4 linked regions of the Callithrix jacchus genome follow. The protein of the gene in region 2 purifies or fractionates together with the protein of the main gene of each other region. This does not show direct contact. Links are inferred from orthologs where the notes say so. Each region holds a gene or a part of one and is shown on either strand. Other genes may lie near its edges. The genes, in order: POLR2G, POLR2M, GPN1 and RPAP1.

Region 1 (7,944 bases), on a different chromosome or scaffold from region 2:
CAAGACCAGCCTGGGCAAGAGAATGAGACCCCTGTCTCTGCAAAAAATAAAAAAGTTAACTGGGCATGGTGACCCAGACCTGTACCTTCAGAATTCGATGAGCACTCCAGCCTGGCAGTCTGTGTGACAGAATGAGACCCTTCTTCAAGAAAAAAAAGGAGGCTGGGCGCAGTGGCTCATGCCTGTAATCCCAAGACTACTTTGGGAGTCCAAGGTGGGTGGATTACCTAAGGTCAGGAGTTCAAGACCAGCCTGGCCAAGATGGTGACCCCATCTCCACTAAAATCTAAAAAAAAAAAAAAAAAAAAGAAAAAGAAAAAGGGCCAGGCGCGGTGGCTCACTCCTGTAATTCTGACACTTTGGGAGTCCAAGGAGGGTGGATCACGAGGTCAAGAGAACAAGACCATCCTGGCCAACATGGTGAAACCCTATCTCTACTAAAAATACAAAAATTAGCTGGGTATGGGGGCATGCAACTATAGTTCCAGCTACTGGGGAGGCTAAGACAGGAGAATTGCTTGAACCCAGGAGGTGGAGGTTACAGTGAGCGGAGATCACACCGCTATACTCCGGCATGGCGACAGAGGGAGACTCTGTCTAAAAAAAAAAAAAAAAGAAAGAAAGAAAAAGAAAATAACAAACAAAAGAACACTAGCTTTGGAGCAGGTCAGCTATTCATACCCAAATACCTCCACTTAATCTCTTTGGGTCTCATTTATAAAGGTGGGAATAATAGTGGTATCAGTATCAAGCTAAAATAACGCGCAGGGTCAGAACCTATTAAAAGAGTTTTTTTCAAGTGTGAAGTGTGAGGATGGACCACCTGGAAACACCAACTCTGGAGGAATGGAGTCAGTGTTCTGAAGTAAAAGTTAAGATTTCAGCCAGGCGCGGTGGCTCATACCTGTAATCCCAGCACTTTGGGAGGCCGAGGCTGGTGGATCACGAGGTCAAGAGATCGAGACCATCCTGGTCAACATGGTGAAAACCCGTCTCTATTAAAAATACAAAAAAATTAGCTGGGCATGGTGGCTCGTGCCTGTAATCCCAGCTACTCCGGAGGCTGAGGCAGGAGAATTGCCTGAACCCAGGAGGCGGAGGTTGCGGTGAGCCAAGATCATGCCATTGCACTCCAGCCTGGGTAACAAGAGCAAAACTCCATTTCAAAAAAAAAAAAAAAAAAAAAAAAAAGTTAAGATTTCATTTGTATAGGCAAGGACACAGGAATTTTATCGGGATTACATTTTTCATAGAAGATTGGTACTTAGTGTAGTTACGGCAATTTGGTTGGCTATAGACAATGTTTCTTTTTGGAAAGAGACATGTAACATTTTTTTCCAGAGCATGAAATAGTCATGGATTTTCTGTCATGTAGTCTAAGCAAAGCAGAACAACAAAAGGCAAGTTAATCTATAACAAGGGTCATTCATTAAGGAGGCAGGAGGTTTTTTTTGTCCCTGAGGTCATTTAAGTCTTTCTAGTCAATGTAGAGAACAAGACAAATAAGAAAGTGAGTTGATCTATAATCTGAGAACAGAAATTGTAAACTGTATGTGACTCGAAGTCACATCTCTCTCGAGGCTTAAAGTGGTTTTTGGGATTCCAACAACTTTTTTTTTTTTGAGATGGAGTTGTGCTCTGCCGCCCAGCCTTGAGTGCAGTGGCACAATCTCAGCTCACTGCAACCTCCTCCTCCCAGGCTCAAGCGATTCTCCTTCCTCAACCACCAGAGTAGCTGAGATTACAGGCGCCTGCCACTGCGCCCAGCTAATTTTTTTTTTTTTGAGATGGAGTTTCACTCTTGTTAACCAGGCTGGAGTGCAATGGCGCATTCTCAGCTCACCGCAACCTCTGCCTCCTGGGTTCAAACGATTCTCCTGTCTCAGCCTCCCAAGTAGCTGGGATTACAGGCATGTGCCAACATGCCCGGCTAATTTTTTTTGTATTTAGTAGAGACGGGGTTTCACTATGTTGGCCAGGATGGTCTCGATCTCTTGACCTTGTGATCCACCCGCTTTGGCCTCCCAGAGTGTGCTGGAATTACAGGCGTGAGCCACCGCGCCCAGCCCCCCCCTTTTTTTTCAAGTTGGGGTTTCACCATGATGGTCAGGCTGGTCTTGAACTCCTGACCTCAGGTGATCCACCTGTCTCGGCCTCCCAAAGTGCTAGGATTACAGGCGTGAGCCACCGCGCCCGGACTGATCCCTTCTCTTAGAAAAGAAAAAAGAAAGACAAAGGTCTGGTGTGGTGGCTCATGTCTATAATTCCAACATCTTGGGAGGTTGAAGCGGGAAGATCACTTGAACTCAGGAGTTGGAGACCAGCCTGGGCAACACAGAGACTCGGTCTGTACAAAAAAAAATTTTTAAAAATTAGCTGGGCGTGGTGGCACGCCTGCTGCCCCAACTACTTGGGAGGCTGAGATGGGAGGATCGCTTGGGGCCACGAGTTGGAGGCTCCAGTGAGCTATGATCCCGCTAGTGCACTCCAGCCTGGACAACAGAGACTCTCTCTCTGCCCAGGGCAGTGAAGTACTTGGGCCTCCAACAAACATGTGTAGATATATATTTGCTGAATCGATTTGCTGCACTCTGTTATAGCGCTTGACTTATGGATTCTTTCACTAATTAATCTCGTTATAAGTATTTACTGAGTGGTTGTTATAGTTTGTGCATTAAGAGAATTGCCTTTTGAGGCCCAGGTTGGGCGGGCGAGGGGCGTGGCTTTAGTGGTTCCCGCCCACGACAGCGAGGCCCAATCAAACCCGCGAAGGGGGTGGAGTTCCTCCCTCTGTCGCGGCCGGCCCGGAACTGGGGTTGCTGAGGCTATCTGTGCTTCCGGTGGATTCCCGGAGGCGGCAAGAGGTGTGGATTTAGCCTCGCAGACTGCTCTGGGAAGATGTTCTACCACGTGAGCAGGGCTCAGGGTGGCAGCAAGGGCTGGGTGGGAAGGAGGAGCAAAGCCGGGCGCCGGCGCGAGGGGCCCCTTCTTGCCCGATAACCTCCCAGCGCCTGGCCTGGTCGCCATCCCACTTTTCTCCGCAGATCTCCCTAGAGCACGAAATCCTGCTGCACCCGCGCTACTTCGGCCCCAATTTGCTCAACACGGTGAAGCAGAAGCTTTTCACCGAGGTGGAGGGGACCTGCACCGGGAAGTGAGTGCCGACTTCACCGCGCAGCCAGATCGCACACACGAGGCGCTATACCTGCAACCCCTCCCCAGCTCCTGCTCGTCCTGCCACCCACTCTGGGGACCTCTCTCACTCTCTCAGGCTGCCAGTTGTTTCCTGCTTTGGGTTCCCAGGACTCCCTCTGCAATGCTGGCCGATAAGACTTCCTTCCCTCCGTTGAAATTAATCATTCATTTACTCCTCAAACATGTTAAAAAAATCCTTGCTGTGTGCCAGGACCCGTGTTGGGCCCTGAGAACAAGATAGAATGAGACCAGCCCTCGTGGAGTCCACAGTGTAATTACTGTTCTTGTGTCTGCTCTCCCTCTGTCATTCTGCTGGTTTTCTCTTATCCCCTGTGCCCAGGGACCACACACCATGGGCCTCAATATATATTCTGAATGAATGACCAGAAAAGGCAGATCGAGTTGGGGGAGGAAGGAAGCAGCTTGGGACTTGAACATCTCTGGGCTTTGTGCAGAGGAGCCTCTCCCAGGGTGGTATTAATGACCCAGCCCAGGGCAGTGGAGTTACTTGGGTCTCCAGCATCAGAAAAACCTGGGGTGGTTCTTGAACATGCAAATTCCTGAACCTCATTGTTTCCTACAGAATCAAGATTCTCTGGGGCAGACCTGAGAATCTGCTTATTTTTTCTTTTTTGAGATGGAAGTCTCACTCTCACCCAGGCTAGAGTCCAGTGGCACGATCTCGGCTCACTGCAACTTCTGCCTCCCGGGTTCAAACCATTCTGCCTCAGCCTCCCAAGTAGCTGGGATTACAGATGTGCATAACCACATCCAGCTAATTTTTGTTTTGTTTTTTTTTTCTTGTGATGGAGTTTTGCTCTTGTTACCCAGGCTGTAGTACAATGGTGTGATCTTGGCTCACTGCAACCTCCGCCTCCTGGGTTCAAGCAATTCTCCTGCCTCAACCTCCCGGGTAGCTGGGACTACAGGCACGCGCCACCATGCCCAGCTAATTTTTGTATTTTTAGTAGAGACGGGGTTTCACCATGTTGACCAGGATGGTCTCGATCTCTTGACCTCGTGATCCACCCGCCTCAGCATCCCAAAGTGCTGGGATTATAGGCGTGAGCCACTGTGCCCGGCCTTAAGTTTTGTATTTTTAGTAGAGATGGAGTTTCTCCATGTTGGCCAGGCTGGTCTCAAACTCCTGGCCTCAGGTGATCCACCTGCCTCGGCCTCCCAAAGTGCTGGGGTTACAGACATGAGCCACCGTGCTGGGCCAGAGAGTCTGCATTTTAATAAGATGATTCTCAGGCATCCCAAAGATTGGCCCCTGTTGGCTCAAGGTCTCCAGCCATCTTGGACATTTATTGTGAAATTATCAGAGCAGCATTTGGCCTAATACATACTGATCTGTGTCCTGTCTTCTCTTGGTCATTAAGCTCTGGTAACTGAGGTGCTAGCAACTTGTCCTTTTGTTCTCCTTGACCCTCCTCCCAAAAGCTCAGTGACTTTTACTGCAGAATCTTTAGAGGCTCATGGACACAAAATGCCGTTTGTTTCTCCTCCTCCTTGCAGGTATGGCTTTGTAATCGCTGTAACCACCATTGACAATATCGGTGCTGGTGTGATCCAGCCAGGCCGAGGCTTCGTCCTTTATCCAGTTAAGTACAAGGCCATTGTTTTCCGGCCCTTTAAAGGAGAAGTCGTGGATGCTGTTGTCACGCAGGTCAACAAGGTGAGACCATACATAGGGGAGCCAGTGGGGTAGTCTCTTGGAAGATGTCGTTGGGTCCTGGCTCCACTTGATAACTCTGTGCCTTCAGCTAAGTTACTTTACTTTTTGTTTTTGTTTTTTTTTTTTTTTGAGACAATTTTGCTCTTTAACCCAGAGTACAGTGGCACGATCTTGGCTCACTGCAACCTCTGTCTCCCGGGTTCAAGCGATTCTCCTGCCTCAGCCTCCTGAGTAGTTGGGGCTAAAGGCATGTGCCACCACGGCTGCCTAATTTTTTTTTTTTTATGGTAGAGATGGGGTTTTGCCATGTTGCCCAGGCTGGCCTTGAACCCCTGAGCTCAGTCAGCCCACCTCAGCCTCCCAAAGCACTAGGATTACAGGCGTGAGCCACCATGCCTGGCCAGTAACTTTTACTTCTTGTGCTTCACTTTAAAATTGTATGGCAATCTGGCCCTGTGTGACTCAGAGGGCAAGGGAGTCATTTATAGTCATAACAATAGAAGCCTGCATTGACTGAGTAGTTACTATGGGCCAGGTAATGTGCAGAGACCCACAGTGATTTTACAAGGTGGGTGCTTTTTTACAGAAGTTGAAGCTTAAGTTAAGTGTACTGGTCAAGATCATGTGCCCAACCAGTGTTCAAATCTTTTTTTTTTTTTTTTTTTTTTTTTTTGAGACGGAGTTTTGCTCGTTACCCAGATTGGAGTGCAATGGCATGCTCTTGGCTCACCGCAACCTCTGCCTCCTGGGTTGAAGCAATTCTCCTGCCTCAGCCTCCCGAGTAGCTGGTACTACAGGCGTGTGCCACCATGCCCAGTTAAGTTCTTTTTGTATTAGTAGAAATGGGGTTTTACCATGTTGACCAGGATGGTCTCGATCTCTTGACCTCAGGATCCACCCGCCTCGGCCTCCCAAAGTGTTAGGATTATAGGCATGAGCCACTGCACCTGGCCTTTTTTTTTTTTTGAGAGGTAGTCTTGCTCTGTTGCCCAGGCTGGGTGCATTGGCTCAGTCTCAGCTCACTGCAACCTCTGCCTTCTGGGTTCAAGCGATTCTCCTGCTTCAGCCTCCCAAGTAGCTGGGATTACAGGTGTGTGCCACTACACCCAGCTAATTTTTTGTATTTTTAGTAGAGATGGGGTTTCACTATGTTAGCCAGGATGGACTCGATCTCTTTACCTTGTGATCCACCTGCCTTGGCCTCCCAAAGTGCTGGGATTACAGGTGTGAGCCACTGTACCCAGCCCAGCTCTTCACTACTTTAAAATGAAAGTTTAGGCCAGGCACTAGTACCTCATGCCTGTAATCCCAGCACTTTGGGAGGCTGAGGCAGGCACATCACATGATGTCGGGAGTTCAAGACCAGGCTGGCCAATATGGTGAAACCCTGTCTCTACTAAAAATTCAAAAATTAGCCAGGCATCACATGGTGTGTGTGTGTGTGTGTGTATAGTCCCAGCTACTTGGGAGGCTGAGGCATGAGAATCACTTGAACCTGGGAGGTGGAGGTTGCAGTGAGGTGAGATTGTACCACTGCACTCCAGACTGGATAACAGCGAGATTTTGTCTCAAAGTAAATACATAAATAAATACAAATAAAAGTCTAAAAAAAACAGAGAAAAGGGCTGGGTGCATTGGCTCATAGTTATAATCCCAGGGCTTTAGGAGGCAGAAATGGGAAGATTGCTTGAGCCCAGGAGTTTGAGACCAACCTGGGCAATATAGCAAGACTGTGTCTCTACAAGAAGTTTTTAAAAATTAGCCTAGCATGGGGGTGTGCACCTGTAGTCTCAGCTATTCGGGAGGCTGAGGTGGGAGAATCGCTTGAGCCCGGGAGTTCAAGGTTACAGTGAGTTGTGATCGCACCACTGCTTTCCAGCCTGGGCAACAGAGTGAGACACTGTCTCAAAATTTAAAAAGCAAAAAACAAAAACACAATACTTTAAGTAGCAAAAAAAAAAGCAAGATCACTCATTTTCTTTCTAGGTTGGACTCTTCACAGAAATTGGGCCTATGTCTTGCTTCATCTCTCGACATGTAAGTCTAGGCACACTGGATGGGGCTGAAGAAGAGAGATACCCATTCATTACCATCTGCTGACGCATCCATTGAAAGTGCTAACCCAGTCTCACTTTCCTTTCAGTCCATCCCTTCAGAGATGGAGTTTGATCCTAACTCCAACCCACCATGTTACAAGACAATGGATGAGGTAAGTGGGCAGGAAGAAGTCAGGGAGGAGAGAATCAGCCATCCTCAGTATTGTCCTGGGGATGACTGAGTACAGATGGTCCCCAAATTACCATGGCTTAACTTATGATGTTATGACTTTACAATGGTGCGAAAGTGTTGTGCATTCATATGCCCCCGGACTTACAGTGGAGTCGTTGTGATGTAACCTATCATAAACTGAGGAGCATCTGTATACTATTCCTTCTCTTCCCAGGATATTGTGATTCAGCAGGACGATGAGATCCGCTTAAAGATTGTGGGGACCCGTGTGGACAAGAATGACATTGTGAGTCTTTTCCCTGCCTCTGTGCCTATACCAGGTTGAGCTGAGAGCTGTCGATTCCTTACCACCCGTGGTTTCAGGGGGTCTATGCTCTTCTCCCAGGGAAAAGGGGTGGATAGGCAGAAGGCCTGGGGCTTCAGGGTGGAGGTTGGTTCTGTGCTCACCTTGGCTTCACTTTCTTTTTACCTTCCTTCCTGCAGTTTGCTATTGGCTCCCTGATGGATGATTACTTAGGTGAGTGCCTGATTATATGTGCCAGAGCTACTGCCTGGAGAAGGGGTGTGTAGGTGTGGGGAGTAATATAGGATTTAATGCCCAAATCAGAGAGACAGAAGAAACTTTTATGCTGTCTGCTTGGAAGATCCAGGACATGTGCCTTGGGATGAGAAAGCTGTGGTTGCCCCCAAACTCTGGGTCTAACTGATTTGCTTTTTCTGGTTTCACAGGGCTTGTAAGCTGAGCCTGATGGCCTCCTACCCTTGGTCCTGATCTAGGAAGTGTGATTGTCACACTTACTGTGTTGTCCAGAGGTCCAGTCTGGCTGCTGTTCTGGAGGCAA
Region 2 (7,798 bases):
GAGGCCAGCAGTTTGACACCAGCCTGGCCAACGTGGCAAAACCCTGTCTCTACTAAAAACAGAAAGTATTAGCTGGGTGTGGTGGCGCCTGCCTACAGTCCTAGCTACTCTAGAGGCTGAGGCAGGAGAATCGCTTGAACGTGGGAAGTGGAGGTTGCGGTGAGCTGAGATCACGCCACTGCACTCCAGACTAGGTGACAGAGTAAGACCACGTCTCAAAAAAAACAAAACAAAACGAAAACCAAGTGTCAATGAAGATGTCGAGCAACTGGTACCCTCAGACATTGCTGGGGGAGTGCAAAATGGTACAGATACTTTGTAAACAACTTGATAGGTTCTTAGAAACATTTATGTACCATATGACCTAGTTATACCATTCCCAAGAGAAATGGAAGCCTATATTCACACAAAAACCTATACACAAGACTTAAAGAGACTAGATTCATACTCAGCAATAACTTAAAGCAACTCAAATATCCTTCAACTGTTAAATGTATAAACAAACTCATACAATAGAATACCACAGCCACAGAATACAATACTATTTAGCGATAAAAAGGAGCGGGCTATGATACCTGCAGTGCCATAGATGAATCTGAAAACTGTTACGCTGAGTCAAGCCAGATTCAAAAGGCTACTGTATGATTCTACTTATATGACATTCTGGAAAAGGCAAAAGTCTAGGACAGAAGACAGACTAGTAATTGCCAGGAGTCGGGGTTCAGTGGTGAGGCTGACTACATTTTGGGGGTGATGATAGAACTGTTCTATGGCATAATTATGGTGGTCATCGCAGAAGTGTATACATTTGTCAAAACTCAGACTTGTCCACTAAAATGGGGGTGTTTTACTACATGTAAATTATATCTCAATACATCCTCTGACAAAACATACACTATTAATTTGCATGTTATTCAGCTTAAAATAAATGATCTTGTTCTGCAAAGTTTTATAGATTCAACGTTGTTGCTATCTGTAGATTTAATTCTCATTTTAATTGGTGTAGTTTTCCATTTTGGCCGCCACTATAAACAACGTGGCAATGAAAGCACTGACACACATCTTTAGTGCATACAGAGTTTCCTTAGGAAGGCTGTGTACGTAGAGGCTGTTAAATTGTAGATTTATGCCTTCCAGTTTGCTAGATATGGCTGCATACCTTTTCCCAGTGTTTCTGCCAGTTCATTCTCTGCAACACGTGAGCTCCTATTTCTCCAATCAGAAAGAGTTTGGGATTTTTAAGATTTTTGTTTTACTTTGCATTTCCCTAAAGTTGAGGATCTTTTTTTAATTATGTTTTCTCGTTTTTTCAGTTTCCTCTTCTGTGAACTATTTGTATTTTTCCTTTTTTTCCTGCTGATTTGTTTTGCTTATTGATGTATAAGAAATTGAGTTTTTGTATTCTAGATGTCACTTTGCTGATTATATAATAGCCTTGTTACTGTAAATCAAAAGTAAAATGAGAAGGCCCCCTCAACCTTCTGGACCTCCTCCTCTAGGCCAGGGTCCTCCAAATTAACCTAAAAGACTGACTAGGCCATGACAGGAAGGGGCATCAGACATGCCTCATTTTGCTGTCCTTTTTCTTTTGGAATCCAGAAAAAGCTGCCCAGCATTTAATATCAACATGGACTTTAAGTCTGATAAGAAACATTTGCATCTTACTCTTTCTGAAGCCTGCTAATTGCAGGCTTCATCTGCATGGTAAAATTCTGGTCTTCACAACCTCTTATGATAACCCAGACATTCCTTTCAAGTAATTGTGGATCAGAAAAAAAAAATTAAATCTACCTATAACCTGGAAGCCCACCTTCCTGCACACTCCTTCTGCTTTGAGTTGTCCCAGCTTTCTGGATTAAGCCACTGTTCATTTTAAATGTGTTTGATTGACGTCTTGGATCTCCGAAAAAGGTATAAAATGAAGCTGTGCACCAGCCACCTGGAGCACGTGTCCTCAGGATCTCCTGAGGGCTGTGTCATGGGCCATGGTCACCCATATTTGGCACAGAATAAATCTCTTCAATATTTTGCAGAGTTTGATTTTTTTTTTTTTTGCCAACGCCACAGACAAATCACCTGATTCAAGGAACTTACTCAACTATTTCTCATTCAGTCAATGCTGGAGCAGGTTTAAGTGCCCTTTACAGGAAGTCTTATACTGAGAAAACTTGTTTTGATATGTTAACGAGTCTGATCAAAATGGACCAGATTTTGGGAATAGAGAAATGGTTGCAATTGTGCTCCCTGGAATAGCTCTGGATTTTTACCTAGATCGTCTGTCTCTTTGGGACGGAGCTGTTTGTGTTTATGTAGCATCTTACATAGGATTGACACACCTTCAATCTTCTATATCAAAAAAATTGGGGGAGGGCGTGGTTTTGGAGGTTATGGGGTTTTCAAACCTCCCAAGTGACATCTGCTGGGACTGCATGTCTTCCAACTCTTTCTACTGGGATGCACCTCTGGTAGAGGAACTACAAGAAGGTAAAAGCTGGGTCCGATACGAACCTGCCTTCTTCTCAACAGCTGTAAAGTAAAGTCTTTTCAACAATTTTACACATTTGGAAATAGGTCTAAGTGAAGACGGGGATTTTCAGACTGGTACGTTGGAAAAGCAGCTGGGCTTTTGGGTTTGAAATCGGGTGCTGTCGCTGGTTTTGTGCCCTGGGAATATTTATTTCCGTTTTCGTGACGCTGTTTTTCTATTGGCAAAGTAGGAAATTAGAAAAGGTCGTCAGGCGGTTTGTACAGCCGCTCCCACTCCTCACCTCTTGTGGGCCTTGGACATGTATGTTGGGGGAGACGTTCCGGATTGTTGCAATGATCTGGGAGTGCCTGGCAGCCAGAAGCACCTGAATGTCCCGCTGCAAACGCCGTTGCGCCCCAAGAAGGGACCGTCCAACCTGAACATTTCCGGACGTCACGAAGCCGGGCTAGGAGGCACCACACGCAGGCCGGAGTCTCCCACGCCTTGTCTCACACTCTCCTCTACGTCATTAATGGCCAGCTCATCCTTAAGGTTTCCACTGGAATCTCGCTTTGCAGACACCCTCCGAGGTGTCCAACGCAACGTTACTATTGTATTATTATTTGATCGTCCCCCTGACTTCCCCACTCCGTAAACTCCAACTATAACAGAGGACGTGGCTATTTGGTGACTAACACGTCGTGTTTGGTGAGGTCACCCTGGCGCAGAACACTTTCTGTACAAACCGATGCGCCGCTGACGACGGGTGAAACGCTCACACGAGGGGAAAGGGCGCCAAGCCGCGGCGCCGGCGTCATGACGTCACTTCCGCCCTGCAGCGATTTCCCCCCGGACGCCCCCTTTCTCCCGGTCCGTGTTTGTTTCCGGCATTTCAATAAAGCTCGATTCGGCTCGAAGAAGAGCCCGTTCTTCCGGGAAAATGGCGACTCCCGCTCATGCCCCGGAGTCACCGGCGGCCGCGGATCCGGCGCTAGCTGCGGGGCCTGTTGAGGAAGCCGAGTGCCCGCCGCCACGCCAGCCTCAGCCTGCGCAGAATGTCCTCGCTGCCCCGCGGCTTCGAGCCCCAAGCACCCGAGGACCTGGGGCAGCGGAGTTTGGTGGAGCTGCGGGAAATGTTGAAGCGCCAGGAGAGACTTTTGCGCAACGTGTAAGCTGCGGTCCCGCGGAGTCACTGCCAGGCTCCTTCAGCTGGAGCTCCCTGGGCGCTCCCCTTCCCTCCCTCACTCCATTCACTTCCCTGGAAGGTGACCTTGCCTCAGTCACATTCGCCTCAGTCCTCCGGGCGAGTGGACAGAGGACTTGCTGCCGCAGAGCCGTCCCTCTCCCTGGCCAGGCACGTTTGCCTGCGAGGACGACTCGTCCTGGACGGCTCCTTAGCGCTGCAGTGAGTTAGTAGCTCCTCGCTGGTGGTGTTTTCCCGGGCACTCTGTTGGCTCCGTGAAGCAAGAGTCTGCATCCTAAGCCTTTGGCCGCCCGCGCCCCTAACCCATAACGGATTGTCAGCTTCATGTCTGGATTCTATGGTTACAGGAACCGGAGGAAATGGGGAGAGTGGGATGTGAGGAGCTGTTTATTAGGCCGGGAAAGTTCGACCCTCATTCAGCTGGCTGATTTAAAGGATTTTAGTAGGGGAGCCACGTGATAAAAGTGATTTTGTGTTTTGGGCAGTTGTGTTCAGCAGCTTCGTGCAAAAGATGGTTTGAAGGAATAAAAAGCAGAGGACAGTAGAAGGATGCTTGCAGAGAGGCTCCCCACGAGAGAGTTGTAAGGAAGTGAACTAGGAAGGAATTGGGAAAACTTTAAGCATGGACTAATTTACATGTAGTTGGCAGAGATGGCCGAAGTTTCCTATGTATATGGAACACCACTAGCAAAAAATAGGAAAATTCGGGGAGAGGAATAGATCCAAGGTTGATTTTACTTAGGGTGTGCGGAGGTGAGAGGAGAGCAGGACAGACATTTGGTTAAGTGAAAACCAAACAAAAGCTGGAGAAGCAGTCATGAGGCTCAAGAAAGAGAGAAATTGGAAAAATATAGAAAACATAGGAATTTCAGCTGTAGTGTTGTCAGTTGTGAGAATGAATGCATTGTCGAAAAGAACAGAGGACCCAGGGTTTAATTTTTTCTCTCCATTGATTCTATAAAGAAAAGGGAATCAGAAAAGGAACTCTGTTATCCAACAAAAGAGATAAATATTTGATTGGGGTCCAGACAGGTGTTTTGACCTTGTGAGAACAGGTTTTCAATCTATGGCAGTGAATTAACTTTCTGGTCTTGGGACTCCTTTATACTTTAAGAATTATTGACATCCCATGGAATTATTTATGTGTTATATCTAGCAAAATTCATTTACTTATCAGAAATGCAGCTGAAGTCTTTAAAACGTAAGTATACACAAGCACACATTCTATTCTAGAACAATGATGTCATCACATGTCATGTAGCCTCTGGAAAACTCCACTGTACCCATGTGAGGAAGTGAGAGGGAAATAACATCTTGGTATTATGATGAAAGTAGTTTTGACCTAATAGACCCATCCCCACACTCAACCCCATCCTCACATTTTGGAGATTTAATGACTGCTGGTTCTTGGAATGCCTTACGTGATTATTATATGCTTGAAGTACTTTTGCTGAAATTCTAATTTGCTGAGACAAATGAGGCATATATTCTCTGTTCCTGCATTCCCGTGTTTTTTGGGCTCTTTGGATAATGGCCATTTATTTGTTTTATTCCCATTTTGGAGAAGTTAGAAATCAGATATTCGATTTAAAAAATTGGCTTTTTTTCTTACAAGTTAATGCTTAGCTTCTTTAATGTTGTATGTCAAGTTTAAAAACGTGACTGTAATATATATGTATTCTTTTCCATTTGACAGAAAATTCATTTGCAAATTGCCCGACAAAGGTAAAAAGATTTTTGACTCTGTTGCCAAACTGAAAGCTGCCATTGCAGAACGTGAAGAAGTTAGAAGAAAAAGTGAACTGTTTCATGCTGTTAGTTTAGACTGTCAGCTAAGGCAAGAAGCCACTGCAGAGGTGGATGTCGATACAGATAAGGCCCGGAATTCTGACCAGATACTTGATGCTTCATCACTAGCTCCTGGCTGTTCCTCTGTAGATAACATCAAGTCATTTGAAACAACCTCACGAAACCAGGGACTTGGACGTCCTACTCATGAAGGTGATGAAGAGACTCCAGAGGTTGAGTACGCAGTGAGTAAGGGCCCAGCTTCCAGCAACAGAGACGGAGCGCCGCCTTCGTCTGAAGCTAGTGAGCATCACCCGCAGCATCGTGTTTCAAGTCAAGCAGAAGATACTTCCAGCAGCTCTGACAGCCTGTTTATTGACAGGTTACAGGGGATCAGCATTGCAGACCAGGGTGAACAACAGTCAGAAGAAAGCACAGGTGCCATGAACTTGACAGGCCTTTCTCATGCGACTCAGAAGAAGCCTCATTACATGGAAGTGCTAGAAACGCGAGCCAAAAACCCAGTGCCCCAGCTGCATACATTTAAGACCAATGTGTAAGTACCATCGGAAACAGGCCTGTAACAGGGGCATAGTATTTGTTAAACCTAAAAAGTTACGAGAAGCTGGTTGTGATGGTGCTTGTCTGTAGTCCCAGGCTTCTCAGGAGGCTGAGGTGGGAAGACAGCTTGAGGACAGGAGTTGGAGAAGGTTGGGCAACCTTTTCTTTTAAAAAAAAGTCAGGAGAATGCTCTAAGTTCCGTGGCTTTGTGTGAGAACTGCCTGTTAGAAAAGAACATACTGTGGAAACACAGACCAGCCTGGATGGAGTGGAAGATTCATGTTGAAAAATACTTAGTTTTGAAAAGGTCTTAAATAGCACATGGGGGAGTATTAAATTTCAGGCTGTGACCCGGTATTTCCTAATAAACAGGGTTGGAGAGAGAATTTATTATGACTTCTTTTTTTCGGAACCATTTTTTACCGTACAGCTCTGATTAGTGTACTATCAAAGTGTACTCACTGTGATTAGTCTGTGAACTAAGGGGAAGGCAGTTGCAGCTGGAGCTCATGGGCTTTCCAGCAGAAGAGATGTGCATGCTCACTAAATGTAAGCAAGCAGCAGGTGTTGTGGGGACACAGTGAAGTCAAAATTCTTAAACTCCTTTGCCTTATTAATGTTGTATCTCAAGTTTAAAAACATGGCCATAATGTATACACGTATAATGTAATAAACTCCCTGTTCTTCAGTGAGGTTAGGAGCTGGATGAAGACCCAAGGTTTACACACTTGCAAAAGAGTTAAACTACATACTAATAGTTTCAGGGAGAAGGAAGCTGAGAAGCGGTTTGAAAACTGTGAAAATAGATTCATGCAGGATGGGCAGAAACTCTGCTTATCAGTTCCTTGCCATAAATTTATTTCTGACATTTCAGGAAAAATAAAATCTTTTTGAAAAGAATTGCTATTTACTTGCAGCAAATGTAACATTCAGCTCGGGTAACTGCTACCTTCCCGTGCTGTATTTACAAGTACATAACATCAAATGCACCGTTAAATCACTACTACCATTCTCTGAAAAACAGAAGACCTCTAGCGAAAAGTACCTAAAACATGCGTCTTTTCTGTTACACTTTAACTCAACCCCAGCATTCATTTTAACCTGAAAACGTGATTTCTGCTGAATACAAAATCAGGACTATAGTATATTAATGTGGTCAGGTAATCTCTTGTATACAGTGAAGTACACGTTTCACTTCCAGGATGACATGTAGAAAACTAGAACCGTCATCTAGCCAATAAATACAACAAAGAATACATTAATCCCAGTTCTGTATTATGGTCATTTATGTAGGAGTTGGAGGGAGATAAGGGAATAGTGATGAGGGTTACCAAGAGTGCAGGAAGTTTAAGAGAGAGGGAGCCTCCTGTGTAGTTAAAGGAGAGCAGGAAAGGCAGGGCTTTGAGGAGTCCAGAGGCTACACACATGGTAAGAAGTGGCTTGGAGGCTGGAAAATGGGCTTAGGGAGTGTCCGTTTGAGCCTTTCTGCTCTTCCTTCTGCATACTCTTCTGGCCTCGTATATCACCTGGATGCTGGAGGCTGCCCCTTGTCTACCTCTACTCCAGATCTTCCAGAAGTTTTAGGGTTACATGGCCAATTAGCCATAACACTTGACCACTTGGGTGTTCCCTGGCATCTCAGCTTAATCATGTACAAAGTGGCACCCCTGTTTCTTTCCAAGGTAATTTCCATATTCTCTAATAGTGTCCCCACCTTCTTCTTGGTTTTCTTCCCCCAAGGTATCTTTCATTTTTCTCATCTCCTTATCTGCTCACCA
Region 3 (6,807 bases), on a different chromosome or scaffold from region 2:
GTCTCTGAGCCTTCCTGTTATTTCTACTTCAGAGTTTTGTGTTTTTTCCCCATATAATAAAGTTTATTGTATCTTTTTTTTTTCATTTTGTAGCCTGGGGATGAATAAAAAGTAATGCTTTCTATCTAGGCATTTTCCCTAGCCCGTTTATATGTTCCAGATCCACCCTGGACTCAACTCAATAGTTTGGAATTGAGGGTTCTTTTGAAATGTTTTTGTGTTCAGTTTCTGAATCCTTTAAATCAGTGTGTAGAGCCCTCCAGTCTGAACTTCTGCTGTAACCCAGGTTTATGCTGCTTAGTGTTTCTCTCCTGATACCAGATGTCCCTTATCTGCATCAGTTTTTATGTAGCCTCTGTATGTGTATAATTCTTCATCTCCACTGAGAAGTCTGGCATCTAATTTGGGGCTCCTTTTTGAATATGATGACATTTTTCTCTGTATATACAGGCAAATGCAGAAAGCCAACATCAGAGAGAACAACTAGAACGCCTTCGAAAAGATATGGGTTCTGTAGCCTTGGACACAGGGACTGCCAAAGGTATTGGAGGTCTTCTTGGTGTTAGGAACTAAAAAAAGGTTACATTTATTTCTACTCAGCAGGATTCTATTTATGTATGAGAGAGAAAAAGATAAAGGAAATATGGTTTTAGACATATATATATATACACACACACACACACAACACATATGCATACATATATATTAAAAATAAAGGATTTGGAGAGGCAAACAACTAGAAATTTTATACAGCTATACCACTTTGGATTCCTCTTTCAGGAAGTTTTTGCTTTACTCTGGCAATACACTTAATATGTGCTGTGGGGTTGTTTGTTTGTTTCTAACACTTTTAATCCTCCCCAATTTTTAAATTTTTTTCATTAAAAAAAATTTTTTTTGAGTTGGAGTCTCGCTCTGTCACCCAGGCTGGAATGCAGTGGCACGATCTCGGCTCCCTGCAACCTCTGTCTTCTGGGTTCAAGCAATTTTCCTGCCTCTCCTGAGTAGCTGGGACTACAGGTGTGTGCCACCATGTCTGGCTAGTTTTAACATTTTTAATAGAGATGAAGTCTCATGATGTTGTCCAGGCTGGTCTTGAACTCTTGGCCTCAAGCAGCCCTCCTGCCTTGACCTCCCAAAGTGTTGGGATTATAGGCATGAGCTACTGTCCCCAGCCCACTTTTTTTTTTCTTTAACTTGCTTTGGTGAGCAAGGACTATTTACTTTTATGACTGTACCATGTTGTTTTTTTTTTTTTTGAGACGGAGTTTCGCTGTTGTTACTCAGACTGGAGTGCAATGGCTTGATCTCGGCTCACCGCAACCTCCGCCTTCTGGGTTCAAGCAGTTCTCCTGCCTCAGTCTCCTGAGTAGCTGGGACTACAGGTGCGCACCACCATGCCCAGCTAATTTTTGTATTTTTAGTAGAGACGGGGTTTCACCTTGTTGACCAGGATGGTCTCGATCTCTTGACCTCGTGATCCACCCACCTCGGCCTCCCAAAGTGCTGGGATTGCAGGCGTGAGCCACTGCGCCCGGCACCATGTTGTTTTAATTATGTAATTATGTTCAATATCTGCTAGGTCACATTCTCCTCATAATTTTTATTTGGTTGTCCTTACATAGTCTTCCACATGAACTGAGTATCAACTTTAGTCCCCTAAAAAGCTTTTTGGTATTTTTGTTGGGATTATATTATATTCATAGTTAATTTAGGGAGAAGTGACATCTCTATGATGTTCAGTCTTGTTACCCAAGACCATGGAGTGTCTTTGTATTTGTCAGGTCTACTTGTATCTTTCAAGAATGTTTATGGTTTTCCTCATGGTGGTTTTCCGTATTTCTTTTTAAACCATTTTTGTTATTTTAGCCAACCTTTTTGACCAAGAGTTTTTGCCTGTTTGTTTTTAATTTTTTTTTAAACAATTCATTTTTATTTGAGACAGGGTCTTGCTTTGTTACCCAGACTGGAGTGTAGTGGTGTGATCTTGGCTCACTGCAGCCTCTGCCTCCTGGTTTCAGGCTATTCTCCTGCCTCAGCCTCCCTAGTAGCTGGAACTATAGGTGCCTGCCATCATGCCTGGCTAAATTTTGTATTTTTAGTGGAGATGAGCTTTTGCCATGTTACCCAGGTTGTACTTGACCTCCTGGGCTCAAGTGATTTGCCCACCTCAGCCACTTAAAGTGCTGAGATTACAAGTGTGAGCCACTGCATCCAGCTTGAAATTTATGTATGAATGTATGTTTGCTGTGTATTTATTTTTGAGGCAGAATCTAGCTCTGTTGCTAGAGTGCAATGGTGCAATCTTGGCTCACTGCAACCTCTGCCTCCTGGGTTCAAGTGATTGTCGTGCCTCAGCCTCCCAAGTAGCTGGGACTACAGGCTCGCGCCAACACGCCTGGCTAATTTTTGCATTTTTAGTAGAGGCAGAGTTTCTCCATGTTGGTGAGGCTGGTCTTGAACTCCTGACCTCAGATGATCTGCCCGTCTCAGCCTCCCAAAGTGCTGGGATTAGACATGAGCCACCATGACCAGCTGACTTTACTGAATTTTCAAAAATTTTTTGAGTTAGTTTTATCATTGGCTCTCCAGGGGTTTTTAGGTTAGTTTTCATTTAGCATGCCTTCCACCCTGACCGCTGTATGTTGATTAACTGCCCTCAAGATTCTGGTGCAAGTCTCTTGTAGCTTAGTGGGATCCTGCAACCAAATTGACTGTACTTAAAAGAAAAACTCCATTTATTTATTTATTGTAATAAATGGGGGCCAGGTGCGGTGGCTCATGCCTGTAATCCCAGCACTTTGGGAGGCCGAGGTGGGCAGATCAACGAGGTCAAGAGATCGACACCATCCCGGCCAACACGGTGAAACCCCGTCTCTAGTAAAAATACAAAAAAATTAGCTGGGTGTGGTGGTGCACGCCTGTAGTCCCAGCTACTCGGGAGGCTGAGGCAGGAGAATTGCTTGAATCCGGGAGGCCGATGTTGCCAGTGAGCTGAGGTTGTGCCACTGCCCTCCAGCCTGGCGCCTGGAATGAGACTCTGTCTCAAAAAAATAAAATAAAATAAAATAAAATAAATTGGGGATAGTTTTTTTTCCTTCTTATCAGCAACACTAGCATTTTTTTCTTCTGGGACATCTTTCTTAAAGGAGTGATGTTTCTGTTCATGAAAGTTATTGCTATATTGAACAGCAAAGCTGAAAACAGACTGGGTTTACCAGTTAAGTGATCTCATTTGTGCCATCCTTGCTGCAAACCTTAGCAAAATACATTTTCATGTGCCACAGTCCTTTAGAATCATTTCTGAATATGTCAAGTGATTGTTACAACTGCTGCTACAAAGGGTCTGCTGTGCTCCGCTAACCTGTTGTAGGGTGGGAGAGTTTAAGTAAATCATTTGAGGAAAGTCAAAAGTATAGTTGCATAATTGTTAGTTGGGTACAGAAATGAAGCATTTACTGTCAGCATGTCCTGTCATCCTCCTTTCTCACAGGCCCCTTGAGATTTGTGCCAGTTGATGTTGCTGCCTCTGGCCACCCTTATTCCCTAGCCGAGCTCTCACAAGCCTCAAAGGCTCCTGAAGAGAGAGTGGCTGTGTCCTCCCATGGTAGTAGTGAGTTGACTAGATTTTTCTTCTGATTACTGGAGCTCAGCCCTTATTAGTTTTTCTGAATAGAGAATTTTACTTGTATTAGTGTATTTGATTTTCTATTTTTCCCCTACCTCCTCTTCTTAAATAATACCCTGGCTCCTCAATATCATTTCAGCCTGTATTTTCTGCAGACCTTCTCTGAACTTACATTTCCACCAGAAGGCTTCCTTAGCACTCCACACTTTCACTGTGACTCACCAGCACACTGGATCTGTTCAGGTGTTTTTAGCTTTCATAGGAGAAACCATCACTCCTTCCAAGCTGTGAGCCAGTAAAAAGAATGATGCTACTACTAAGACAAGCTTCTTAAAAATTATTTCCCTCAGCTTAAAAAATGGGACTCCTAGGGCTGTTTGCCTTATGAAAGCACTTTGTGAACTAAGTATAGAAATGTTAAACGGTATTAAGAATACATTTAGAAGAGGTAATCCTGCATTTACCTGTATCATGAGAACTTTCATCCTGCCAGTTTATGATCATAGTTATTAGTGATTCCAAATCAACTTTTGAGAAGGCATATGCACTCATAGCTGTTTTCACTGTAGACAGCTTATCTCCTGTGCTGGACCCTTCTGAATTGATCCTGACTCGAGGAACCTTGGATGAAGAGGAAGAGGAAGCAGACAGTGATACTGATGACATTGACCATAGAGGTGAGAGGAGCTGAGGTGGCTCATGGCAACACAGCATCTGCTTATCCTCACATTGTTTCCCCAGGAGTTTCTTATTGTTAAGCATGTAACCAGTAATAGTGGGGGAGAGGAGATGGTAAAGGATACCGCACCAGAAAAGAGTTTCCTATATTGAAAGTTCCTGTCCTGCCTACTGGAGGGTTAATATTGAGCTGATTATAGACCTTTCATTGGTCTTGTGTCTCCTTATCTTTAGGTCCTAACTTGGTTTGAGGAATCCAGGACTTTTGTTTGTTGTTATTAGGATTTTGTTTTAAGAATACGTAAGGACTGGGTGTGGTGGCTCATGCCTGCAATCCCACAGCTTTAGGAGGCCAAGGCAGGAGGATTGCTTGAGTCCAGTAGTTCTAGACAATCCCGAGCAATAGTGAGTCCCAGTCTCCACAAAAAAGAAAAAAAAATGGCTGGGCGTGGTTGCTCACAGCTATAGTCCAAGCTGCTTGGGAGGCTGAGGTGGGTGAGTTGCTTGAGCCCAGGAATTTGAGGCTATAGTGAACTATGATTGTGCTATGGCACTCCAGCCTGGGTGACAAAGCAAGACCGTCTCAAAAAGAGGATTATATAGGTGGTATGGACTATGATAGCATGGCTCTGAAAACCCAAATTCCACTTGGCATGGTTTTATGGACTGTGAGCAGAATCTGATTATTATTTTTTGAGACAGAGTTTTGCTTTTTCCCCCAGGCTAGAGTGCAATGGTGTGATCTCAGCTCACTGCAACCTCTGCCACCCAGGTTCAAGCAATTCTCCCACTTCAGCCTCCTGAGTGGCTAGGACCACAGGCGTGTACCACCACACCCAGTTAATTTTTTGTATTTTTAGTAGAGACAGGGTGTCACCATGTTGGCCAGGCTGGTCGCGAACTCCTGACCTCAAGTGATCCACCTACCTTGGCCTCCCATAGTGATGGGATTACAGGCGTGAGCCACCACACCCTGCTAGAATCTGACTCTTAAAACAACCACAGGCTGGGTGCGGTGGCTCATGTCTGTAATCCCAGCACTTTGGGAGGCCGAGTCGGGTGGATCACCTGATGCCAGGAGTTCGAGATCAGCCTGGCCAATATGGCAAAACCCTGTCTCTACTAAAAGTACAAAAAATTAGCCAGGCTTGGTGGTGGGCACCTGTAATGCCAGTTACGTGGGAGACTGAGGTGGAAGAATTGCTTGAACCTGGGAGGCGGAGGCTGCAGTGAGCCGAGAGTGCACCATTGCACTCCAGCTTGAGCAACAAGAGTGAAACGTGGTCTCAAAAAAAAGAAACAACCACAAGATTAAGGTCTAAACTATGACCAAGAGCAAACCTTGGCCAGGCATTGTGGCTTATGCCGGTAATCCCAGCACTTTGGGAGGCTGAGGTGGGTGGATCATGAGGTTAAGAGTTCAAGACCAGCCTGGCCAAAATGGTGAAACCCCATGTCTACTAAAAATACAAAATTAGCCAGGCGTGGTGGCGAGCACCTGTAATCCCTGCTACTTGGGAGGCTGAGGCAGAGAACTGCTTGAACCCAGGAGGTGGAGGTTGCAGTGAGCCAAGATTACACCACTGCACTTCCAGCCTGGGTGACAGAGTGAGACTCCGTCTCAAGGGGAGAGAAAAAAAAAGCAAACCTCCTTGTTCTTTGGCTGGGTTTTATATGTAAATTGCCCCATTTAATCAGATTTCTTAAGATGTAATTTACCAACAGTAAAACTCAACTTTTTGAGTACATAGTTTGACGAACTTTAACAAACACATACTTTCTTGTAACTACCATCACAGTTGAAATGTAGAACATTTACCCGACCCCTGAAACTTCCTCATGCCCCTTGTTTTTCAGTCCTTGTCCTAAATACCCAGAGCCTGGCAACCACTGACTGATACTGCCTTTTCCAGAATGCCATACAAATAGAATCACAGTATTTAGCCTTTTGCATTTGACTTTTTGGACTCAGTAGTATAGTCTGTCCATGTTGTTGCATGTATCAGTAATATGTTCTTTTTTTATTGCTGATAGTCCATTATTGTGGATGTACCACAGTTTGTTTATCCATTCCCCAGTGGATTGATATTTGCGTGGATTTTAGCTGTTATGAGTAAAATGACTATAAACATTTCCAAATAGATCTTTGTGTAGACATATGTTTTCATTTCTCTTGGTTAAAAATACCTATAAGTGGGACCTTATTTTAACTACTATGAGGGAGTTATTCTTTATACATAGAAACATTTTGGGCAGCATGATAAAGCATGCTTCTAGGAGACATTTCCTCTTTGAGAAAGGTGAGTACTTAGTTTTTTAGAAGTAACATACTTTTTCTGATGGATGGGTGATAGGGGCTCTAATCAGTTTTGTCTAATGAAAGAGAATTGAAAAGGAATTGTCCTTTTTTCCTTGCAGTTACAGAGGAAAGCCACGAAGAGCCAGCATTCCAGAATTTTATGCAAGAATCAATGGCACAATACTGGAAAAGAAACCACAAA
Region 4 (7,159 bases), about 41 Mb from region 2:
CTGTGACCAGATTAGGTCCCTGGAAGCTGTGGCTGCTTCCAGGAAGCTGGCAGCCCCGGTCCCTAGGAGCCAGTGTCTCACAGGTCACGGCACCTGGAAGAAAGGTATGACCACATTCATTGCTCTGTCCTCCATGGCTCTAACTGGGCTTTCTGGCCCTCTTCTATAAGGCTATTAGCCCTGGAGACAGGTACAGATCCAAGCTTTCTTTAGACAGAGTGCAGACCCCATTGGGTCTGGCATAGGACTCGAGGTGGCTTCTCCACTTACCACTTTCCTAGTACTATTATGAAAAGGTTTCCTCCAGAAACACCCTAATTTCTGACTCTTCTCTTGGATATCCAGGCAGCCATCTATAGCTAGGGGCCTGCTCCCGGCTCTTCAGCTAATAATTTGCATCATTAAAGGAATCTTCGCCAATACATTTATTTTACAGTCTCTGCCAGACTATTCCCTTTCTCTTAGGATTACATAATGGCCTGTGTCACTCCCAGCACCTGAGACCAGGATATGAACCCAAGCCTCCCATAACTTGTATTCTCAGATTACTTCAGATGGCTCAAATGTACCTCCCATTTGAGGCAGGAAGACGTGTCTTCAAAAATAACCCTATGATTGTGTCTTTTAAAAAGGCCAAGCCCAAGCCTCTTCAACCCCAGCTCACCCTCTGGTGGGCCCAGATTGGGCACAACTTCCCCAACTGATGGGACCCTGGCTTCAGATATTCTCCTTGCTGCAATCTCCTGGGCAAAGATGCTTCTCTTACCAGATATTGCTGATTTTCCCTGTGGGGCATAAAGAAAACCCTGGTTACTGATGCTCATTATCCCACTTTCCTCTCAGCCTCTTTATACCAAGGTCTCTGGAACAAAGAGATAAAAGGGGCTTTGCTCAATCTCCGGGGATAACAACACTCGTCCTCAGAAAAAAGGAGAGGCCAAAGGAGTAAAGATCTTAGAATCTGACAGACTGGGCTGAAGTTCTGGCTCTTCTATCTCTTTTTTTTTGAGATGGAGTTTCGCTGTTGTTACCCAGACTGGAGTGCAATGGCATGATCTCGGCTCACCGCAACCTCCGCCTTCTGGGTTCAAGCAATTCTCCTGCCTCAGCCTCCTGAGTAACTGGGACTACAGGTGCACACCACCATGCCCAGCTAATTTTTGTATTTTTGGTAGAGACGGGGTTTCACCTTGTTGACCAGGATGGTCTCAATCTCTTGACCTCGTGATCCACACGCCTCAGCCTCCCAAAGTGCTGGGATTATAGGCGTGAGCCACTGCGCCCGGCCTCTTCTATCTCTTATATGTCTGGTGTTGGACAAGTTATTTATTTCTTTAGGGGGTGTCAGTTTCCTTATCTGAAAAATGGGAATAAGGAATCCTCATCCCCAAGATATCATCATGATACCTCCCTTATATGTTTGTTATGAAGATTAAAAGATGTAACGAGTATGTACGGTCCTGCTTTGTAAATGAAATTGCCTGTCATTAAAACCACCTGTCGGTAGTCTGAAGATGCCTATGAGACTCACCTGTCTGTCTTCTAGGCACCACCTAAACTCACCCTTGCCTACCTGTGTGTCCCGAGAGCGATGAAACACAGGGGGGAAAGCAACAGCACTGGGCACAGGCAGCTTCACGGTCACTGAACTTGTATCTCGTTCCTGTAGCAACAAAGCACGAAGTTGTGAAGCACAATGTACAGACTTCCCTAGGCTGGACCCTATCCTATTAGCCCAGTTCTGAATGATAGAACCTCACTCAGGGGGATTATGGACCCTCCTCCCTTCAGGGCAAAGTGATTCTAACTCAGCCCCCAACCAGACTGCATTGGGGAAAAGTCTCCCTTTCTGAAGCAGCCTCTACTCATAAGGCTTACCCACCCCGAGCATCCAATATCCCTGTTGCCCAAGAACATCTTATCCTACTCAGCCAGAGTGAGACGCACAATAATCTTAGTCAAGACAGCAGTGATGTGCTGATCATGCCTCCTCAGCCTCTCTTCTGGGTCCTCATCCTCAGGCAGGGGGTGGCCAGGGCTGGCCCTGGCTCTCTTCGGGGGAGAAGGGACCAAAGCTGGGGGCAGATCTGGGAGATCTGAGAAAGAAAAGATCCCAAATATGAGTATATGCACCTTCCTAGGAAGTCACTGCAGCCTAGGAAGGAAAGCTTTGGCTGCCATGGGGCGCTGGCTCAAGCTGTCACCTTGCATAGGGTATTTAACCCCTTTGAGCCTCAGTTTCTTCCTCTGTAAAATGGGGCTGCAGCAACAGTGTCTGAAATAACAATGTGTCTGAATCCAACCACATTGGGAAGAGGGAGGGGCCGAGGCTGTACCCTGTCTACTTCTCAGCCTCATACCCCCGGGCACTTACTGTTCAACATCACCACATCCCGATGGTCCTGTAGCGGAGGCCGGTCTGAGTTGGCATCACCACTGCCCCTATTTCCTTTCTTTACCAACTGCACCGCTGGGGCTGCACCAGCTGCAAGAAACTGACTCTGGAAGCGCAGCAGGTCCACCTCGGACTCCCCTGGCTTTGGCCTCGACAGCATCTTGCTGCTCCAGCTGCCTCCCCAGTACGACTGTCTCCAGCAGTGTCTTCCTGTGGGGATTCTCTCTTATTCATCCCTAAGAGCAAGAAAGAATATGGGCCCTCTGCAACTGAATCCTGATTTTCTTTATTAGGCATCAGAGAAGACCTTCTTTATCCTTCACATGAACTCATTCCTCCTCAATCATACCTTATTGCCATTCCCTCTCTCTTCAGCCCTCCCTGATGTCATCAGCCTAGCAACAATATTTACAGCCAACTTAGGTTGTTTACAATCTATGGGTGATGATAAAACTCTCAAAAAGAACTAGCAGGAGACCAGAGGAAAATTTCATTAGGGGCCAGGCAGATATATGTGTCATAATGGGGGATGATGATACTGTATCAAACTGAAGAGGATGTGCTTGGCCTAAAGGTATGCAAATTATTAAAAACCCTGGGCTGTAAAATATCAATATTAAAAAACATTTGTGGCGGGTCGGTGGCTAATGTCCATAATCCCACCACTGTGTGAGTCTAAGGTGGGTGGATCACCTGAGGACAGGACCAGCCTGGCCAACATGGTGAAACCCCGTCTCTACTAAAAATACAAAAAATTAGCTGGGCATTGAGGTGGGCACCTGTAATCCCAGGTACTTAGGAGGCTGAGGCAGGAGAATCACTTGAATGCAGGAGGTGGAGGTTGCAGTGAGCCGAGACTGTACCATTGCACTCCAGCCTGGGCAACAAGAGTGAAACTCCATCTCAAAAAAAAAAAAAATTGTATGTCTTTTTTTTTTTTAAGATGGGGTTTCACCATGATGGCCAGGCTGGTCTTGAACTCTTGACCTCAGGTGATCCACCCACCTCGGCTTCCCAGAGTGCTAGGATTACAGGCATGAGCCACCGCGCCCGGCCAAAAAATTGTATGTCTATGCACGAGCAAAGAACATGCAGAAAATGGAATTAAGAAAACAATTTAAATTACAGCAACAAAAAGAATAAAATGCTAATGCATTAGAACAAATGTAACCAAAGAAGTACAGGACTTGCCCATTGAAAACTATTAAACATTGTTGAATTAAAGTACTAAACAAGTGAGGCAGTCATAGTGGCTTATGCATGTAATCCCAGTACTGTGGGAGGCTGAGGCAGGAGAATTGCTTGAAGCCAGGAGTTAAAGATGAACCTGAGCAACAAAGCCAGACCATGTCTCTACAAAAAATAGTAACAATAAGAATAAAGACCTAAACAAATGGAAAGATATCCCATGTTCATGAATTAGAAGACTTAATACTTCCCAAATCTATAATTCAATATAATCTTTTAGCTTACTACAGCCTCAAACTCCTGGGCTCAAGTGATCCTCCTACTTGACACAGGAAGTTAATTTAATTGCCCCCAAATCACATAGGAAATGGCAGAAACAATCTGAAATTAGGCATTCAAGCTGCAGAATGTATGCACTTCTATATCTGCTCAACCTTGCCAATGATAAATGATCAGAGGATTAAAAGATAAAAAAGCAAAGAAAAAACATTAAAAAACCAGGCACGGTAGCTCATGCCTATAATCCCAGCACTTTGGGAGGCGAGGTGGGTGGATTGCTTGAGGTCAGGAGTTTGAGACCAGCCTGGCCAACATGGTAAAACCCTGTCTTTAAGAAAAAAAAAAAAAAAAAAAAAAAAGGCCGGGCGAGGTGGCTCAAGCCTGTAATCCCAGCACTTTGGGAGGCCGAGGTGGGTGGATCACGAGGTCAACAGATCGAGACCATCCTGGTCAACATGGTGAAACCCCGTCTCTACTAAAAATACAAAAAATTAGCTGGGCATGGTGGCTCGTGCCTGTAATCCCAGCTACTCAGGAGGCTGAGGCAGGAGAATTGCCTGAACCCAGGAGGCGGAGGTTGTGGTGAGCCAAGATCGCGCCATTGCACTCCAGCCTGGGTAAAAAGAGCGAAACTCCATCTCAAAAAATAAAAATAAAAAAATAAATAAAATTTTTTAAAAATCAACAAATAAGTGAGCAATCAAATGTTTGTTTTGTATCATGATAAAATATGCACATTTCTATTTTTCTCTATATATTATAAATTTATGTACTTTTTAAACTTGTAATTTGTTATAATGTTAGATTTACAGATTTATATAGATAGTATGAACAGTTACCATATATAGTCTTCACCCAGCTACCCCAAAGGTTAAGACTTTACGTAACCATGGCACAAAGGGCTAAAAAAGAAATTAACGTAGAGTCATTAATTTGTCAGTAAAAAGGAATGAAGTTCTAATGCACAAACCTTGAAAACATTACACTAAGTGAAAGAGGCTACATGACTCAGAAACATTTTATTTGGTGAAAAAAAAGAAAGAAAGAAGCTAACCACAAAGGGCCTCATATTGTATGATTCTGTTCATACAGAATGTCCAGAATAGGCAAATCCATAGAGACAGAAAGTAGATTAGTAGTTGCCAGGGGCTAAGAGAGCTGGAGGGAAAAGGGAATTGACAGCTTCTTTCTGAAGTAATTAAAATGTTCACCACTGTAAGTATACTAAAAGCCATGAATTGTAAACTTTATTTATTTACTGTCACAGGGTCTGGCTTTGTCAGCCAGGCTGGAGTGCAGTAGCATGATCCTGGCTCACTGCACCCTCCACCACCACCTCCTGGGGTTAAGCCATCCTCCCACCTCAGTCTCCCAAAAAGCGGAGACTACAAATGCACCACCACACTCGGCTAATTTTTTTATTTTTTATAGAGACAGGGATTCACCATGTTGTGCAGGCTGATCTCAATCTCCTGGGCTCAAGAAATCTGCCCAGCTCAGGCTCCCAAAGTGCTGGGATTACAGGCCTGAGCCACTGCACCTGGCCGGTAAACTTTAAAAAAATGAATTCTGGCCGGGCGCTGTGGTTCATGCCAGTAATCCCAACACTTTGGGAGGCTGAGCCGGAGGGATCACGAGGTCAGGAGTTTCAATACCAACCTGACCAACATGGTGAAACCCCATCTCTACAAAAAATATAAAAAAATTAGACCGGCATGGTGGTGTGCACCTGTAATTCCTGCTACTTAGGAGGCTGAGGCAGGAGAATCGATTGAACCTGGGAGACGGAGGTTACAGCGAGCCAAGTTCATGATTGCACTGCAGCCTAAGCGACACAGTAAGACTCTATCTCAAAAAAATAATAATAAATGGGAATCCACTGGGCTTGACAAAATAAAAATTAAAAAAAGAAAAAAGAAAAAGAAAATGATGAATTCTGTGGTAAGTAAATAATATCTTAATTATAAAACAAAGGCCAGGTACAGTGGCTCACGCCCATAATGCCAGCCTTTGGGAGGCCAAGGCGGGTGGATCACGAGGTCAACAGATCGAGACCATCCTGGTCAACATGGTGAAACCCCGTCTCTACTAAAAATACAAAAATTAGCTGGGCATGGTGGTGCGTGCCTGTAGTCCCAGTTACTCAGGAAGTTGAGGCAGGAGAATTGCTTGAATCCAGGAGGCGGAGGTTGCGGTGAGCTGAGTTCGTGCCACTGCACTCCAGTCTGGGTAACAACAGTGAAACTCCGTCTCAAAAAAAAAAAATTATAAAACAAAAACACCGGGCTGGCCAAGCATGTCTGAAAGCTGGCTGACTAGTTTTGAAACCCCTGAGCTAGATGCTGATAATAATAAAAACGTTATTGTTATAGCTAACACTTATTGAGCACTTAGCATGTGCCACATACTGTTCTCTATGCACTTTTTCCATATTCATTAATTTTTTTTTTTTTTTTTGAGATGGAGTTTCGCTCTTGTTACCCAGGCTGGAGTGCAATGGCGCGATCTCGGCTCACCACAACCTCCGCTTCCTGAGTTCAGGCAATTCTCCTGCCTCAGCCTCCTGAGTAGCTGGGATTACAGGCACTCGCCACCATGCCCAGCTCATTTTTGTATTTTTAGTGGAGACGGGGTTTCACCATGTTGACCAGTATGGTCTCGATCTGTTGACCTCGTGATCCACCCGCCTTGGCCTCCCAAAGTGCTGGGATTACAGGCCTGAGCCACCGTGCCTGGCCCCATATTCATTAATTTAATCCTTATAACAGCCTATGAGGTAGGTTACTACTATTATTCAAATTTTACAGCTGAGAAAAGAAGAGTGCTGAGAAGTTAAGTATTTGCCCAAGGGTCAAAGTAAGTAAGTACTAGGATTAGGATTCAATCCCAGTCAGTCCATACCCTTAACCCACTATGTTCTATTGCTTAGTGCTGTGTGGTCCCTGGGTGTCCTGGAAATCTGGAATAGTGAGGCAGATGGGGAAGAACTATAAAGAATCTCCTGAAGAGCAAAGGCTGGGACTACACTAGACTTTCTCAATAGGGACTATTGACTTTTATGGCTGGATAATTCTTTTTTTTTTTTAAGTATAAAGATGGGGTTTCACCATGATGGCCAGGCTGGTCTTGAACTCCTGACCTCAGCTGAACCACCCACCTCGGCCTCCCAAAGTGTTAGGATTGCAGGCATGAGCCACTGCACCCGGCCAGCTAGATAATTCTTTGCTGTGGGAAGCTGTCCTGTACTGTAGGAATGTTTAGTGGTATTCCCGGCTTTTACCCATGAGATGCCATCAG

The links.
Region 1: the proteins of POLR2M (region 2) and POLR2G purify together in Homo sapiens (affinity purification with mass spectrometry; 4 studies listed by BioGRID and IntAct, counting the BioPlex papers as one, with this or other methods). This does not show direct contact. The link is inferred for Callithrix jacchus from reciprocal best matches to the Homo sapiens genes POLR2M and POLR2G.
Region 3: the proteins of POLR2M (region 2) and GPN1 purify together in Homo sapiens (affinity purification with mass spectrometry; 3 studies listed by BioGRID and IntAct, counting the BioPlex papers as one, with this or other methods). This does not show direct contact. The link is inferred for Callithrix jacchus from reciprocal best matches to the Homo sapiens genes POLR2M and GPN1.
Region 4: the proteins of POLR2M (region 2) and RPAP1 purify together in Homo sapiens (affinity purification with mass spectrometry; 3 studies listed by BioGRID and IntAct, counting the BioPlex papers as one, with this or other methods). This does not show direct contact. The link is inferred for Callithrix jacchus from reciprocal best matches to the Homo sapiens genes POLR2M and RPAP1.

Annotation. Positions count from the first base shown.
Region 1 is NC_133511.1:120,036,082-120,044,025, forward strand, and holds the start of POLR2G (DNA-directed RNA polymerase II subunit RPB7), read left to right. Parts: upstream 1-2,827; 5' UTR 2,828-2,898; coding exon 2,899-2,910; intron 2,911-3,044; coding exon 3,045-3,154; exon of another isoform or gene 3,155-3,437; coding exon of another isoform or gene 3,438-3,466; intron 3,467-4,713; coding exon 4,714-4,873; intron 4,874-6,859; coding exon 6,860-6,910; intron 6,911-7,016; coding exon 7,017-7,082; intron 7,083-7,316; coding exon 7,317-7,388; intron 7,389-7,585; coding exon 7,586-7,619; intron 7,620-7,831; coding exon 7,832-7,845; 3' UTR 7,846-7,944. UniProt on the Homo sapiens protein: Core component of RNA polymerase II (Pol II), a DNA-dependent RNA polymerase which synthesizes mRNA precursors and many functional non-coding RNAs using the four ribonucleoside triphosphates as substrates.
Region 2 is NC_133509.1:3,676,423-3,684,220, forward strand, and holds the start of POLR2M (protein GRINL1A), read left to right. Parts: upstream 1-3,393; 5' UTR 3,394-3,522; coding exon 3,523-3,635; intron 3,636-5,367; coding exon 5,368-6,015; intron 6,016-7,798.
Region 3 is NC_133515.1:87,395,464-87,402,270, reverse strand, and holds part of GPN1 (GPN-loop GTPase 1), read left to right. Parts: intron 1-85; exon of another isoform or gene 86-192; intron 193-450; coding exon 451-541; intron 542-4,197; coding exon 4,198-4,305; intron 4,306-6,724; coding exon 6,725-6,807. UniProt on the Homo sapiens protein: Small GTPase required for proper nuclear import of RNA polymerase II (RNAPII). May act at an RNAP assembly step prior to nuclear import.
Region 4 is NC_133509.1:45,067,372-45,074,530, reverse strand, and holds part of RPAP1 (RNA polymerase II-associated protein 1), read right to left. Parts: intron 2,632-7,159; 5' UTR 2,556-2,631; coding exon 2,375-2,555; intron 2,097-2,374; coding exon 1,948-2,096; intron 1,664-1,947; coding exon 1,574-1,663; intron 786-1,573; coding exon 665-785; intron 94-664; coding exon 1-93. UniProt on the Homo sapiens protein: Forms an interface between the RNA polymerase II enzyme and chaperone/scaffolding protein, suggesting that it is required to connect RNA polymerase II to regulators of protein complex formation.